2 linked regions of the Stegostoma tigrinum genome follow. The protein of the gene in region 1 purifies or fractionates together with the protein of each later gene. This does not show direct contact. Links are inferred from orthologs where the notes say so. Each region holds a gene or a part of one and is shown in the gene's direction. Other genes may lie near its edges.

Region 1 (7,612 bases):
CTGTACGCAATATTCCAAGTGTGGCCTAACTAAAGTTCTATAAAGCTGCAGCATAACTTGTCTGTTCTTGTACTCAGTGCCCTTTCCAATGAAGGCAAGCAGGCCATAGGCCTTTTTTACTCCTTGCCTACCTGCGCTGCCATCTTCAGTGATCTGTGGACCTGCACACCCAGATCTCTCTGCATATCAATATTCCGAAAGGTTCTACCTTTCACTCTATAACTTCCACCTGTACGTGACCTTCCAAAATGCATCACCTCACATATTTGTCTGGCTTAAACTCCATCTGCTATTTTTCTGCCCATGTCTCCAACTGATTTGTATCATGTTATATCCTCTGACAATCCTCCTCGCTATCTGCAACTCCCCCAGTCTTTGTAACGTCCACAGACTTACTAATTAGACCAGCTACTTTTCTCTCCAAATCACTTATGTAGATCACAAACAGGTGAGATCCAGCACTGATCCCTGCGGAACACCGCTCATGACATTCCTCCATTCCAAAAACTATCCTTCCACCTCTACCCTCTGTCTCCTATGCCTAAGCCAGCTCGCACCTGACACCACGTGACTTCACCTTTTGTACTAGTCTGTCATGAGGGACGTGGACAATGGTTTTACTGGAGTCCATGTAGACAACATCAACTGCTTTTCCTTCATCAATCATCTTCATCACCCCCTTGAAAAATTTGATCAAGTCAGTGAGGCATGACCACCACACACTTAAACCATGTGTTAATTGCTAATCAGTTAATTTACTTCTAAATGTTTATAGATCTTGTTCCTAAGAATCTTTTCCAGTAACTTTCCTACCACTGACAAGAGGCTCACAGACCTGGAATTGCCCGGATTATCCCTGCCACCCTTTTTAAACAATAGGACTATGTTAGCTATTCTCCAGCCCTCTGGGACCTCAGGCGTGACCAAAGAGGACATAAAGAATAGATTCCCTGCAGTGTTTAAACAGGCCCTTCGGCCCAACAAGTCCACACTGCCCCTTGAGGCATCCCACCCAGACCCATCCCCCTATAACCCACACACCCCTGAACACTACGGGCAATTTAGCATAGCTGATTCACCTAGCCTGCACATCTTTGGACTGTGGGAGGAAACCCACGCAGACAAGGGGAGAATGTGCAAACTCCACACAGACAGTCGCCCGAGGTTGGAATCAAACCCGTGTCCCTGGTGCTGTGAGGCTGCACTGTTAACCACTGAGCCACCATGCCGTCCTGATGTCTGTCAATGCTCCAGCAATTTGTTCTCTTGTTTCCCCTCAATATTCTAGGATAAATCCCATCAAGACCCAGGGATTTATCTACCCTTAAGACTTTCTAAGACACACAACTCCTCTTCCTTTTTAACGTCAATTTCTAAACCAAGTTGCTTCTAGCCTGTGTCTCCAACGCCTAACCGAACAACCATGCACAAACTCACCTCTTGGGTTGTGACTGAGTTTGGAACTGATAAAAAGGTTATAAGGATAAAATGGAATAGTGGTATTAGTTTAGGGCTATTCCAGTAAGGAACTGCTGTAGGCACAACAGCTGAACAACCTGCTTTCTATTGAAGTCTGTCCATCTAATGTTCTTGCTCTGTCATGGTAATCTTATTAGGTTTATCACAAAGCTTAGCACTGTTAAAACTCTAGAAGTTATTTTCAAGTAACAAAAAGTTGGTGTGATTCTGTTGCTGTAATGGCAAAGCAATGGGAAGGTGACACACCTGCGTCTAAAATGTATTACTGATTTTTGGGAAGCCTGATTACCTGCATTTCTTCAATTCAAATTCATTGTAAGTTTCAGGAGGAGTTTTAATTTTTTGCCTAGTCTGGTGACTTCAGTTCCCTGTTCCATTTATCCCATTAAAAGGTTTTTTTTATAAACCATTGCTCCACAATATGGCTAGCTCCAGTGTCAACTGATTCCAGTCTAATTTCCTCTGCCAACCAGGCAAGTCAACTCGACAGTGTGAATTAAATTTTAAAGGGATGTTATTTCAGGGATCAAATTCTTGCGGGTATTTTTGTTTGCTTTTTAGGGGCTGTTAGTGTGCTTGAAACCATTAAGACCCTGTGATCACGGCAGAATGTTTGAAAAAATTCTGTTCACATTCTATACTGCAGATTCTATGTTGAACTCTTTATTTTTAAAATCATGTTCTGGTTTGTGCATTTTGTAGAACAACTTTATATTCTAAGTTTTCTTGAACCGCAAAATGATAACTGTTTCAATCAGAGCAATGCAGAATTTTCAGATATAGTTAGTGACACGTTTTTGATGTGGAAATCTCTGAAATTCATTTTAATGAGAGCTAAAGTATTTCAATCTGTTGTTCACAGCTTGCACAGTTCGAGCCCCCAAAAGAGGAAGGGCAACCTGAATAATAATTCAAGACTTCCCACGTTATCAGAAGAATGCATGAAAGGGATCTGATAAAATCATCTGGCAAATAGTATTAATTTTGGAGAATTGGCACCTATTCTGGAAGAAATGCAGCCAGTCATTTTAGGTTACACATGCCAAAACAAAAGTTACTTTAAGCTAAAAAAAATTATGCCATTGTTGTATACCTGTCTGCAATGCAGCATTTGGAAGTGGATATTCAACAGAATTTTTACTCAATGCATCTAAATTCTACACAAACATTTGATTCAGATATAGCCCTACAAACCAATGCAAGTTGCACATGTTTCATTGGATCCTAAATTTTGTTAATATTGGCATGATGTTACCAGATTTCTGAAACAAATTTCAGTAACTTTGTTTCACCAAACATGTTTGTTAAAGTCATTTTGCACTTTGTGGGGAACAGTACTGAGCACTCTTGTCTGGCATATCCTGTTAGTTTGGGGGACATGGGGACGGATAAGCTAGGGGTTAATAGCTTTAAGTCACATTAGGCCAATAGAATCTGTATATCAGTTCACAAGCCAAACTGAACAAGTGGAACTTGGCAGCAGTCAAGTATGAATGTTGACCATGTTGGATGGTTTGCTGTCATTGGGCCAGTATTTTGGACAAAATCTGGCAACCAGGCCGTGATCCACTAACGTGACTAGGCACTGGCATTTTTGGAGCAGGAGGAACATCTTATCAGCAAACTACACTAATGCTGAAACCAGGCCCATTTGGCTCAATTAATGTCCAAGTTTTATTGTTTTTTTAGTTGTACAGAAGTTCAATTTTTCCCTTTTTTGTATTCACTGAATAAATTTTCTTTGCACATCATTGGTATGTTTCTTGATGATAAAACACTAGATTAACCAGTATTAAAAGATTTTTGTTCTAGAGGCAAGCCCAGGATTTGCATTTGTAATGGAATGACACTGTCCCGCCCCTCCTTGTGTACTTGTCTCAGTCCTTCAGATGGAGCCGTGTCTAACTCTGTCACTTTCCTCTTTTATTTCTTTGCAGAATGAACTTAAGTAACTGCTCTCTTCCCTGGCCAATCATCCATTTTCTCTCAGCTTCTTATTATCCACTCCCTCACATGCTCATGTCCTTCCCCTTTCCCCACCCACCTACTCACTCCCCTTTCAGGTTCATGTTCTGTTCTCCCTTATCTTCATTTCTTTCTCTTTTCTCGATCTGGCTTCTACTCTTTTCTCTTCTCCCATCAGTATTCCTTCCAAGATAAAACAAACAGTCACCAGGATAAGTATGGATTAATATGTGAATGCCAAGTCACATTTGATTCACCTGATGGAAAACGGACTTTTGAAAGATATTGATAAAATTTGTTGCCCATAGGACAAAAGGGCCCACAGCACCTTTGAGACAAAATTACCTGAGTGACAGCGAACTACATTTTCAAACTGGAGAAAGATGTGTTGTAGGGTTATTAGGAACCCTTTTTTTTTGATATATGCTGAGCTGAGCACACATAAATTTACAGATGACAAAATCTGGAAATATAGTAAAATCTGAAGAAGATACTGCAAGATTTTAATAGGACACAAGTTGATGGAGGGGTTATGAAGAGAAGCATGGATAATTCATGCTTGAGAAATGGAGAAATGCAATATGTATTTGTAGAATTCTAGAGAGGTACAGGAACATGGGGCAAATTAAAAGCAACAAGGCACGTTAAGAAAGTATTGTAAAAGCAATCAGGATCGTAGGCTTCACAAATAGAAGTATCACGTACAGAAGCAAAACAAATATGAACTTTTGTAAAGTACTTGTCCATCACAATTCAAATATCTTGTCAAACTGCACTTGGGGAAGGATGATTAAAAACTTTGAGAAGATACAGCAATGATTAACTAAATATTAACACGCTTTGAAAATTTTCATTTGCAAAATTATCCTGATGCAGGCAAGGGAAGTGTTTACCGTGCAGAAAGATATGGAATTGGAGTAAATAAATAGTGATATCTTGAAGCATCTCTTACAATGGAGACAGTAAGAACTGCCAGTGCCGGGGTCAGAGATAACACAGGGTGGAGCTGGAGGAACACAGCAGGCCAGTTTTGGGTCAGGATTCTGAACAAAGGTCCTGACCCGAAACGTCAGCTTTCCTGGTCCTCAGATGCTGCCTGGCCTGCTGTGTTCCTCCAGCTCCACCCTGTGTTATCCGTATATTACAATGGCGGTGGTGCTGAAGTCTTAAAACACAAAAAGGTGGATAAATCCCTGGGAGCAGATCAAGTGTACCCTAGAACTTTGTGAGAAGCTAAGGAAGTGATTTCTGGACCCCTTGCCAAATATTTTGGCATCATCAATAGCCATGGGTGAGGTGCTGGAAGACTAGAGGTTGGTCAACGTGATGCTGTTATTTAAGAAATGTAGAAAGGTAAAGCCAAAAAACTTAGACTGGTGGGCAAGTTGTTGGAGGAGGGTCTGAGGGACAGGATTTATGTTTATTTGGAAATGCAAGTGCTGATCTAGGAATAGTCAACATGTCTTTGTGTATGGGAAATCATGTCCCACTAACTTGATTAAGTTGTTTGAAGACGTGATGAAGAGGATTGAAGGCACAGCAGTCAACGTCTGCATGCTCAGTAAGGCATTCAACAAGGTTCTGCATGAAAGACTGCCTAACAGGGTTAGTTCATACGGAATACAGGGAGAACCAGCCATTTGGATACAAAATTGGCTAGAAGGTAGGAACTAGGATGTTGTGGAGGGTTGCTTTTTGGATTGGAGGCCTGTGACCAGCAGTTTCCTGCAGGGATTGGTGCTGGGTCTGATTTTTTTTTTTGTTTTGTTATTTGTAGAAGCTATTTGGATATGAATATAGGAGGTATGGTTAATAACTTTGTAGATCACACTAAAATTGTTGCCAAGGATAGCAAATAAGGTTACCTTGGAGTCCAACAGGACCTTGGTCAGATGGTCTGAGGAGTGACAGATGGAGTTTATTAGATAAATGTGAGATGCTATACTTTGGTAAGGAAATCAGGCAAGAATAATACACTTAAAAGTAAGGTGTAGGGGAGTGTTGTCAAACAGACACCTTGATATGCAGGTTTGTAGTTCCTTGAAAGTCACTGGTAGACAGGTCAGTGAAGAAGACCTTTCGTATGCCTGTCTTTATTGGTCAGTGCATTGAGCAAAAGAGTTGGGAGGTCATGTTGTGGTGGTACAGGACATTGGTTAGGCTACTGTTGGAATGCTGTGTTTGATCCTGGTCTCTCTGATAAAGGAAAGATGTTGTGAAACTTGGGTTCAGAAAACATTTTTAAGGATGTTGCCACAGTTGGTAGGTTTGAGCTGGAGGAAAAGGCTGAGAGGTGACCTTATAGAGGTTTATAAAGATCATGAGGGGCATGGATAGGGTGAATAGTCAAGGCCTTTTCCCCAGCATAGTGGAGTCAAAAACTAGAAGGTATAGGTTTACGGTGAGAGGGGAAAGATTTAAAGGGAACCTAAGAGGCAACTTTTTTGCGCAGTGCATGTATGGAATCAGCTGCCAGAGGAAGTGTAGGAGGTTGCTACTGTTACAAAAATTAAAAGACATCTGGATGGGAACATGACTAGGAGGGGTTTAGAGGGATATGGGCCAAATGCTGGCAAATGGGACTAGATTAATTCAGCATATCTCGGCAGCATAGATGAATTGGACTGAAGGGTCTATTTCTGTGTTGTACATCTTTGACTCTGTAACCAGGGGAACATGACATTTCTCCTGTAAGAAGCAGTGTGTTGACTGGTAGAGATGTTACTATGAACAATACATCAGTCCTTACGTTTGTTCTTTGCAAACAATGTGGGCATTGCTGTCTCGAGTGTCCCTGATTGTCCTGTAGAAGGTGATGGTGAGCTGCTTTCTTGAACCATTGCATTGTGTTGTAGATACACCCACAGTGCTGTAAGGAAGACAATTCCAGGATTTTGTCCCAATAACAGCAAAGGATGATGAGTAAGTTCCAACTAAGGATACTGTGTGATTTGCAGCAGCGGTACTGTGTAGCATCTACAAGATGCACCTAGACAACTCATCCAGGCTTTTTAAACCTTACAAACCGATGGCAGCGACCACCAAGGAGGACAAGGCAAGAAAAGATCCCCTCTGAGTGACTCACCATCCTGACTTGGATGGTGGATTGGAAAGAAATCCCTATCCCTACGCTATTGCTGGGTCAAAATCCTGTAACCCTCCTCTCAAACAGGTCGTGTGTGCCCTGACAACACACAAACTGGAGCAGTCCAAGAATGCTGCTCACTATCACCCTATTACAGGCAACTTGTTGGGAGTTTTTTTACAGACCCCCTAATAGTTGCAGAGAAGTGGAGGAGCAGATTGGGAGGCAGATACTGAAAAGGTGCAGAACTCACAGGGTTGTAGTCTGGGTGACTTCAACTTTCCAAATATTGATTGGAAACAATCTAGTTGTAGTAGTTTAGATTTTGTCCAGTGCATTCAGAAAGGATTACTGACACAGTATGTAATAGACCAACATGAGGAAAGGTGATTTTCGATTTGGTGCTTGGCAATGAACCAGGCCAACTGTTAGACCTGTTGGTCGAAGAGCATTTTGGCGTTAGCAATCATCACTGTTACTTTTACAATAGTCACGGAAAAGGATAGGTATGTACAGCAGAGTAAGGTTTATAATTGGGGGAAGGGTAATTACAATTCTGTTAGGCGAGAACTGGGTAAAAAAAATGGGAACAGATGATGTCAGGGAAGAGCTCTCTGAAATGCGGAGATTGTTTAAGGAATGCATACTGCGTGTGCTCAATATGTTTGTCCCGAGCAGGCAAGGAAGATGCGGTTGAGTGAGGCAGCCTTGGTTCTTAAGAGAGGTTGAATGACTAGGATGCTTATATAAGGTTTAGGAAACAAGGCTTGGAAAAGACTCCAGAGGGATACAAGTTAGCCAGAAAGGATCTGAAGAAAGGGTGTAGGAGAGCAATAAGGGGGCATGAGAAAACCTTAACAGATAGGATCAAGGAAAACTCCAAGGCTTTTTACACATTAGTGAGGAATAAGAGAATGATCAGAGAAAGGGCAGGGCCAATCAAGGATTGTAAAGGGAATTTGTGCACGGAGCCTAAAGCGATACGAGAGGTCCTTAATTAATACTTTTCTTCAGGATTCATAACTGAGAGGGACCTAGTTGTAGAGGAGGCCAACGTGAAACAGGCTGGTAGGCTAGAGGAGA
Region 2 (8,008 bases), on another chromosome or scaffold:
TAGTACCATCACCCTCTGCCTTCTGCCTCTCAGCAAATTTTAGATCCAATATGCCACTATGCCTTATTACCCCATGGGTCTTACTTTCTTGCCCAGTTGATCATGAGAGACGTTATCAAAAGCCTCGCTGAAGTCCATGTATATAGCATTACCCTCATCAACGTTCCTGGTCACCTCCTCCAAAAATTTGATCAACTTTGTCAAACACAAATTTCCCTTAACAAATCCACGCTCTCTAACCCTGATTAATCTTTAAGTATCTCCAAGTGCAGATATATTCTGTACTTCAGAACTGCCACCAAGGTTAGATTGACTGGTCTGTAATTTCCTCACTTATATCTTCTCTCCATTTAAAAAAATACGGTGAACAGTTCTCCAGTCCTCAAACAATTAACCAGTGGCCAGAGAGGGTCTGAAAATTACTGCCAGTAGGCTGATATCCCCTCACCAAAATACTTATTATCAGATTGGGTGAGCTCAATATTGTATCCAACAGATGGTTTCAGAACCATCACCCAAGACAACTACAATGAGTCTTAATTTGCCTGATCTAGGTTTGATGATGACTGAAATTACTGTTCAAATTCCTAAAATCTGGCAGACAGAAAAAATATTTCATGATTCCTACACTGTGTTCTTCATTTCAAATTATGAATTTACACATGCTGACATACTAATATTTTCTATAAATGTAAACATTTAAAACAGTGTTGATTATATTGTTAGTAGAAAGTACTTTCAGAATGATTTTCTGAAACACCTTACAATATTCTTGTGATCTTGTGCATATTTCAGCAAATCCTACACAAGTTCCTGGACATGACTCTATATGGAGTGCAGTGTCTCCCACAGATGCGAGAACTCAACCCTGCTTGGTGGAGGCGCAGTTTATGGACATCAGATTGTTGCTGCAGGGAAGGCACTGCTTCCCTGCATGTGGATGCAGTCACCCATCCCAGCCGGAGATGGCACCTTGGTTGAGAGTTGAATAATGTTTTCCTGTGTTCGCTGTGGTTGGGTTTTGGAACGTGAAGTTGTGTGTGCACGCGGGAGGGGAAGCGTAGTAATACCTGCAAACCGGCGTGGTTGATTTGGAGCTGCAACTCTCTCGGTATGTGTGGATGGTGTTGTAAGTCCACCAAGCTCGCAAGGATGCTATCATTGGGGTTTAACAATAGAGATAATAGGAATTGCAGATGCTGGAGAATCTGAACTAACAAGGTGTAGAGGTGGATGAACACAGCAGGCCAAGCAGTATTAGAGCAGGAAAGCTGACGTTTTGGGCCTAGACCCTTCTTCAGAAATGGGGGAGGGGAAGGGGGTTCTTAAATAAATAGGGAGAGAGGGGGAGGCGGATGGAAGATGGATAAAGGAGAAGATAGGTGGAGAGGAGACAGACAGGTCAAAAAGGCAGGGATTGAGCCAGTAAAGGTGGGTGTAGGTGGGGAGTTAGGGAGGGGATAGATCAGTCCAGGGAGGATGGACAGGTCGAGGGTGCATGATGAGGCTAGTAGGTAGGAGATGAGGGTGGAGCTTGAGTTGGGAGGAAGGACAGGTTAGGGAGGCAGGGACAAGTTGGGCTGGTTTTGGGATGCGGTGGATGGGAGGGGAGATTTTGAAGCTTGTGAAGTCCACATCGATACCATTGGGCTGCAGGGTTCCCAAGCGAAATATGAGTTGCTGTTCCTGCAACTTTCAGGTGGCATCGTTGTGGCACTACAGGAGGCCCAGGATGGACTTGTCATCTGAGGAGAGGGAGGGGGAGTTGAAATGGTTTGCGACTGCGAGGTGTAGTTGTTTAGGGCAAACTAAGCGTAGGTGTTCCACAAAGCGGTCCCCAAGCCTTCGCTTGGTTTCCCTGATGTAGAGGAGACCTCCTCTACAGTTGCAAACCATTTCAACTCCCCCTCCCATTACTCAGATGACATGTCCATCCTGGGCCTCTTGCAGTGCCACAACGATGCCACCCGAAGGTTGCAGTAACAGCAACTCATATTCCACTTGGGAACTCTGCAGCCTAATGGTACCAATGTGGACTTCACAAGCTTCAAAATCTCCTCTCCACCCACTGCATCCCAAAACCAAACCAGCTCGTCCCAGCCTGCTTAACCTGTCCTTCCTCCCACCTCAGGCTCCACCCCCACCTCCTACCTACTAACCTCATCCCGCCCCCTTGACGTTTCCGTCCTCCCTGGACTGACTTATCCCCTCCCTAACTCCCCACATACACTCACCTTTTCTGGCTCCACCCCCGCCTTTTTGACCTGTTTGTCTTCTCTCCACCTATTTGCTCCTTTATCCATCTTCTATCCGCCTCCCCCTCTCACCCTAGATAATAAAGTGTGAAGCTGGATGAACACAGCAGGCCAAGCAGCATCTCAGGAAGTCTGACGTTTCGGGCCTAGACCCTTCATCAGAGAGGGGGATGGGGAGAGGGAACTGGAATAAATAGGGAGAGGGGGGAGGCGGACCGAAGATGGAGAGTAAAGAAGATAGATGGAGAGAGTATAGGTGGGGAGGTAGGGAGGGGATAGGTCAGTCCAGGGAAGACGGACAGGTCAAGGAGGTGGGATGAGGTTAGTAGGTAGCTGGGGGTGCGGCTTGGGGTGGGAGGAAGGGATGGGTGAGAGGAAGAGCCGGTTAGGGAGGCAGAGACAGGTTGGACTGGTTTTGGGATGCAGTGGGTGGGGGGGAAGAGCTGGGCTGGTTGTGTGGTGCAGTGGGGGGAGGGGACGAACTAGGCTGGTTTAGGGATGCAGTAGGGGAAGGGGAGATTTTGAAACTGGTGAAGTCCACATTGATACCATATGGCTGCAGGGTACCCAGGCTGAATATGAGTTGCTGTTCCTGCAACCTTCGGGTGGCATCATTGTGGCAGTGCAGGAGGCCCATGATGGACATGTCATCTAGAGAATGGGAGGGGGAGTGGAAATGGTTTGCAACTGGGAGGTGCAGTTGTTTGTTGCGAACTGAGCGGAGGTGTTCTGCAAAGCGGTCCCCAAGCCTCCGCTTGGTTTCCCCAATGTAGAGGAAGCCACACCGGGTACAGTGGATGCAGTATACCACATTGGCAGATGTGCAGGTGAACCTCTGCTTAATGTGGAATGTCATCTTGGGGCCTGGGATAGGGGTGAGGGAGGAGGTGTGGGGACAAGTGTAGCATTTCCTGCGGTTGCAGGGGAAGGTGCCGGGTGTGGTGGGGTTGGAGGGCAGTGTGGAGCGAACAAGGGAGTCACGGAGAGAGTGGTCTCTCCGGAAAGCAGACAGGGGAGGGGATGGAAAAATGTCTTGGGTGGTGGGGTCGGATTGTAAATGGCGGAAGTGTCGGAGGATGATGCGTTGTATCCGGAGGTTGGTAGGGTGGTGTGTGAGAACGAGGGGGATCCTCTTAGAGCGGTTGAGGCGGGGGCGGGGTGTGAGGGATGTGTTGCGGGAAATACGGGAGACGCGGTCAAGGGAGTTCTTGATAAGCTCTTTAAGGACCGCACGGTGATCGAGAACGCCCTTGACCGCGTCTCCCGTATTTCCCGCAACACATCCCTCACACCCCGCCCCCGCCTCAACCGCCCTAAGAGGATCCCCCTCGTTCTTACACACCACCGTACCAACCTCCGGATACAAAGCATCATCCTCCGACACTTCCGCCATTTACAATCCGACCCCACCACCCAAGACATTTTTCCATCCCCTCCCCTGTCTGCTTTCCGGAGAGACCACTCTCTCCGTGACTCCCTTGTTCGCTCCACACTGCCCTCCAACCCCACCACACCCGGCACCTTCCCCTGCAACCGCAGGAAATGCTACACTTGTCCCCACACCTCCTCCCTCACCCCTATCCCAGGCCCCAAGATGACATTCCACATTAAGCAGAGGTTCACCTGCACATCTGCCAATGTGGTATACTGCATCCACTGTACCCGGTGCGGCTTCCTCTACATTGGGGAAACCAAGCGGAGGCTTGGGAACCGCTTTGCAGAACACCTCCGCTCAGTTCGCAACAAACAACTGCACCTCCCAGTCGCAAACCATTTCCACTCCCCCTCCCATTCTCTAGATGATATGTCCATCGTGGGCCTCCTGCACTGCCACAATGATGCCACCCGAAGGTTGCAGGAACAGCAACTCATATTCCGCCTGGGAACCCTGCAGCCTAATGGTATCAATGTGGACTTCACCAGTTTCAAAATCTCCCCTTCCCCCACCGCATCCCAAAACCAGCCCAGTTCGTCCCCTCCCCCCACTGCACCACACAACCAGCCCAGCTCTTCCCCCCCACCGACTGCATCCCAAAACCAGTCCAACCTGTCTCTGCCTCCCTAACCGGCTCTTCCTCTCACCCATCCCTTCCTCCCACCCCAAGCCGCACCACCAGCTACCTACTAACCTCATCCCACCTCCTTGACCTGTCCGTCTTCCCTGGACTGACCTATCTCCTCCCTACCTCCCCACCTATACTCTCCTCTCCACCTATCTTCTTTACTCTCCATCTTCGGTCCGCCTCCCCCTCTCTGCCTATTTATTCCAGTTCCCTCTCCCCATCCCCCTCTCTGATGAAGGGTCTAGGCCCGAAACGTCAGCTTTTGTGCTCCTGAGATGCTGCTTGGCCTGCTGTGTTCATCCAGCCTCACATTTTATTATCTTGGATTCTCCAGCATCTGCAGTTCCCATTATCTCAGGAAGTCTGCTGTGTTCATCCAGCTTCACACTTTATTATCTTGGATTCTCCAGCATCTGCAGTCCCCATTATCACCCTATTTATTTCAGAACCCCTTTCCCCTCCCCCATTTTTGAAGAAGGGTCCAGACCCGAAACGTCAGCCTTCCTGCTGCTTTGATGCTGCTTGGTGCGCATCTTGTCATCTCTTGGGTTTATCAGAGTCGTGTCTATGCGCGTGATGTGTAGTAGCTCCTCCCAACCGCCAACGGCAGTATGATGAGGAGTTGTAACGGGGGGGTCCGGTAGTAAGTCCTCCCATCTGGTGGGGGCGCAATGATTGGGAGTCGGAATGGGTGCTGTGAACGCGGTGCGGAGTGGGAAACGGTGGGTCTGGGCTGGACGGAGTACAGAACACGGCCGAGGAGGGGCAAAAACTGTGAAAATTGACTCGGCTGCGCGACGAATGATTTCTCTGACATAACGTTGTTCGGACAAAAACTCAAAAGCTTTCTATTTTGAAATTTAAAAGAAGCCCGCGCGTTAGCTGGAGTTCAGGAAAATGTCGGAAAATCAGCCCAACAACCCGAACCGGGTGAGAAACAACAACCTGAACCCGAACCCGCTCATCAATGTCCGGGACCGGCTCTTCCACGCACTCTTCTTTAAGATGGCCGTGACATACGCCAGGGTGTTCCCCCCATCTTTCCGCAGAATGTTTGAGTTCTTCGTGCTGCTGAAGGTCAATATTGTTATTTTTAATTTTTGAGGGATATCGCTGGGAAAGGGATAGGAGGCCCCTGGCTCGAGATGAGATTGATTGTTGGCGGGGGGGGGGGTGCGCAGAGAATTGCGCATGTGCACCTTTCGTGCCCTGGTTTGGGATCGTTACCTCCTTTACTTAATATGTTCCCTTGTATATTTAACTTTACGGTCACATGCACGGTAGCGTTGTAATAAAGCCACTAGATTTTGATTACAAAACGTTTGCAGGAAGTTGCTTGGGGAATGCATTATATATACTCAATAATCAAGTTGTTATCCTTGCCTCCATGTTACCTAACATCAGTAAAAGTTCTATACCATTAATTACAAACTAGCTACTTCTAGTTGCAATCTGTCATCAGCCTTCCCTTCAAATGAATAACCCTTCCATCTTTACACACAGCCAGCACTTCAATTTCTTTCTTTTTCCCTCTCTAAAGTTCTTAAACGTATCACCTCTCAACTCTTTCTAAAATCCCATTTTGGAGTCCCTTCATATCAGGTTTCAGCCTCATGAAGGTAAAATCTCAGACAAGTAATGGTGGCAAAAAGTAACTAATCTATCATTCTATGCTGTTATGTAACCTTTAGCATGATTAACCATACTATTCTCCAGTGCATCTCCATTGTTATCCAAATGGGTGAGAGTACGCTTGCCAGGTTCATTCATATCCATTAAATTCTGCGGCTAGGAAAGTTATATGCGTTACCTTTTCCTTACTTTCCCATGTAAGAGTATGCTGACTTCTTGTATCTGCTCTGCCTGACAGTGCTGTCATATCTGGCATTACTCTTTGAAGCTTTCCTAGTCCTCATTTACACACTGCTCCTTGGTGATATCCAAAAATATTGTCACTTGTCATGTGTAAACCTATGACACCTAACTTTGCCTGACCATTCTCTCTCAAACCCTTCATAAATCATATAGTACAGAAGAGTCCCTTTGGCCAATCAAGTCTGTGCTGCCAAAGAATGTGCTTCTACCTTCACTAGTCTCACTTTACCACACTAAGCCCATGGCCTTGAATGTTATGACAATTAAAGTATTTATTTATTTATCCAAGTACTTGTTAAAGATTGTCAGTTCATCTGCCTCAAATACCCTCCCAGGCAGTGCATTCCAGACCCCACCACCCTCTGAGTGAAAAACATTATCTTCAAATCCCTTCCGACCTCTGTGTATGTGCTCCCCGTTCTTGACCCTTCCAGTAAAGGGTGCAGTTGCTGTCTGTCCACGCTATCCATGAACCTTGTAATGTTAAACACCTCAAAACCGGTTCTTCCTGAACTTCCCTGCTCCAAAGAAAACCAAGCCAAGCTTATTCAGCTTCTCCTCATAGCTGAAATACTCCATCCGAGACAACATTCTAGTGAATTTCCTCTCCACCATCTGTAATGCAATCGCATCCTATAATGTGACCAAAACTGCACACAGTACTCCAGCTGTGACGTAATCAAAATTCTGTACAGCTCCAACATAATCTCTCTGTTCTTATAATCCACACCTTGAGTGACAAAGGCTAGCATCCCAAATGCAACTTGAACAACCCCATTAATCTGTCCGGCCACTTTCAGGAATCTGTGGACAATACTTCAAGATCCTCGGTTCTTCTGAGCTTCCTGTTGACACTAAATTGTCAGACTACTTCTAATATTCAGTACTGTGGATATGTGCAGAAATATTTCCCATCTAGGTATTGAGAAGACTGAAACAATTGTCTCTGATTGCTAAAACCACCCCTCTCCCTGACAGTATTTGAGGCTGAACCATACTGTTTACTGGAGATTGTAGGAACTGCAGATACTGGAGAATCTGAGATGATAAGGTGCAGAGCTGGATGAACACAGCAGGCCAAGCAGCATCAGATGAGCAGGAAAGCTGACGTTTTGGGCCTAGACCCTTTCTCAGAAATGGGAGTGCTGAAGGTTCTGAAATAAATAGGAAGAGGGGGCGAGGTGGATGGAAGATGGACAAAGGAAAAGATAGGTGGAGAGGAGACAGACAGTTCAAAGAGGCAGGGAAGGTGAGTGTTGGTGGGGAGATCAGGAGGGGATAGGTCAGTCCTAGGAGGACAGACAGGTCAAAGGGGCAGGATGAGGCTAGTAGGTAGGAGATGGGGGTGGGGCTTGAGGTGGGAGGAAGGACAGGTTAGGGAGGCAGGTACAAGCTTGGCTGGTTTTGGGAAATGGAAGGTGGAGGGGAGATTTTGAAGCATCTGAAGTTCACATTGATACCATTGGGCAGCAGGGTTCCCAAGTGGAATATGAGATGCTGTTTACAATATTGTTTACCAGCTTGGTCTCACACCTGAGATGACCATCAAGCCACACATTTGCAATCTCAATGAGAGACAGTCTTGAGTATTTTTAATAATCCAGTATCCATTGCTCTTTTGAGGTGGGGAAAAGATCAACAGCTGTCATGAGGGAGGAATTATTTAAAATCTGTGGTCACTGTATCTGGATTCCCCCACGAGAGAAACACTCCTAAAACCCACATCCGTGTCTTTGTTACCTCTAGATTGACTGTTGCAATACTGTCGCAGCTGACTGTCTTCATTCTCTAACTCTGCCCATTTTCTAACTCACA

Evidence for each region. Proteins that work in one complex are often made in the same cells at the same time.
Region 2: the proteins of E3 ubiquitin-protein ligase RNF185 (region 1) and tmem259 purify together in Homo sapiens (affinity purification with mass spectrometry; 3 studies listed by BioGRID and IntAct, counting the BioPlex papers as one, with this or other methods). This does not show direct contact. The link is inferred for Stegostoma tigrinum from reciprocal best matches to the Homo sapiens genes RNF185 and TMEM259.

What each region holds. Positions count from the first base shown.
Region 1 is NC_081379.1:51,227,343-51,234,954, reverse strand, and holds the start of E3 ubiquitin-protein ligase RNF185, read left to right. Parts: upstream 1-4,596; 5' UTR 4,597-7,612. Other genes in the region: c-Myc-binding protein, read left to right, coding at 2,342-2,386. UniProt on the Homo sapiens protein: E3 ubiquitin-protein ligase that regulates selective mitochondrial autophagy by mediating 'Lys-63'-linked polyubiquitination of BNIP1.
Region 2 is NC_081383.1:28,749,839-28,757,846, reverse strand, and holds the start of tmem259 (membralin), read left to right. Parts: upstream 1-4,989; 5' UTR 4,990-5,215; coding exon 5,216-5,395; intron 5,396-8,008. UniProt on the Homo sapiens protein: May have a role in the ERAD pathway required for clearance of misfolded proteins in the endoplasmic reticulum (ER). Promotes survival of motor neurons, probably by protecting against ER stress.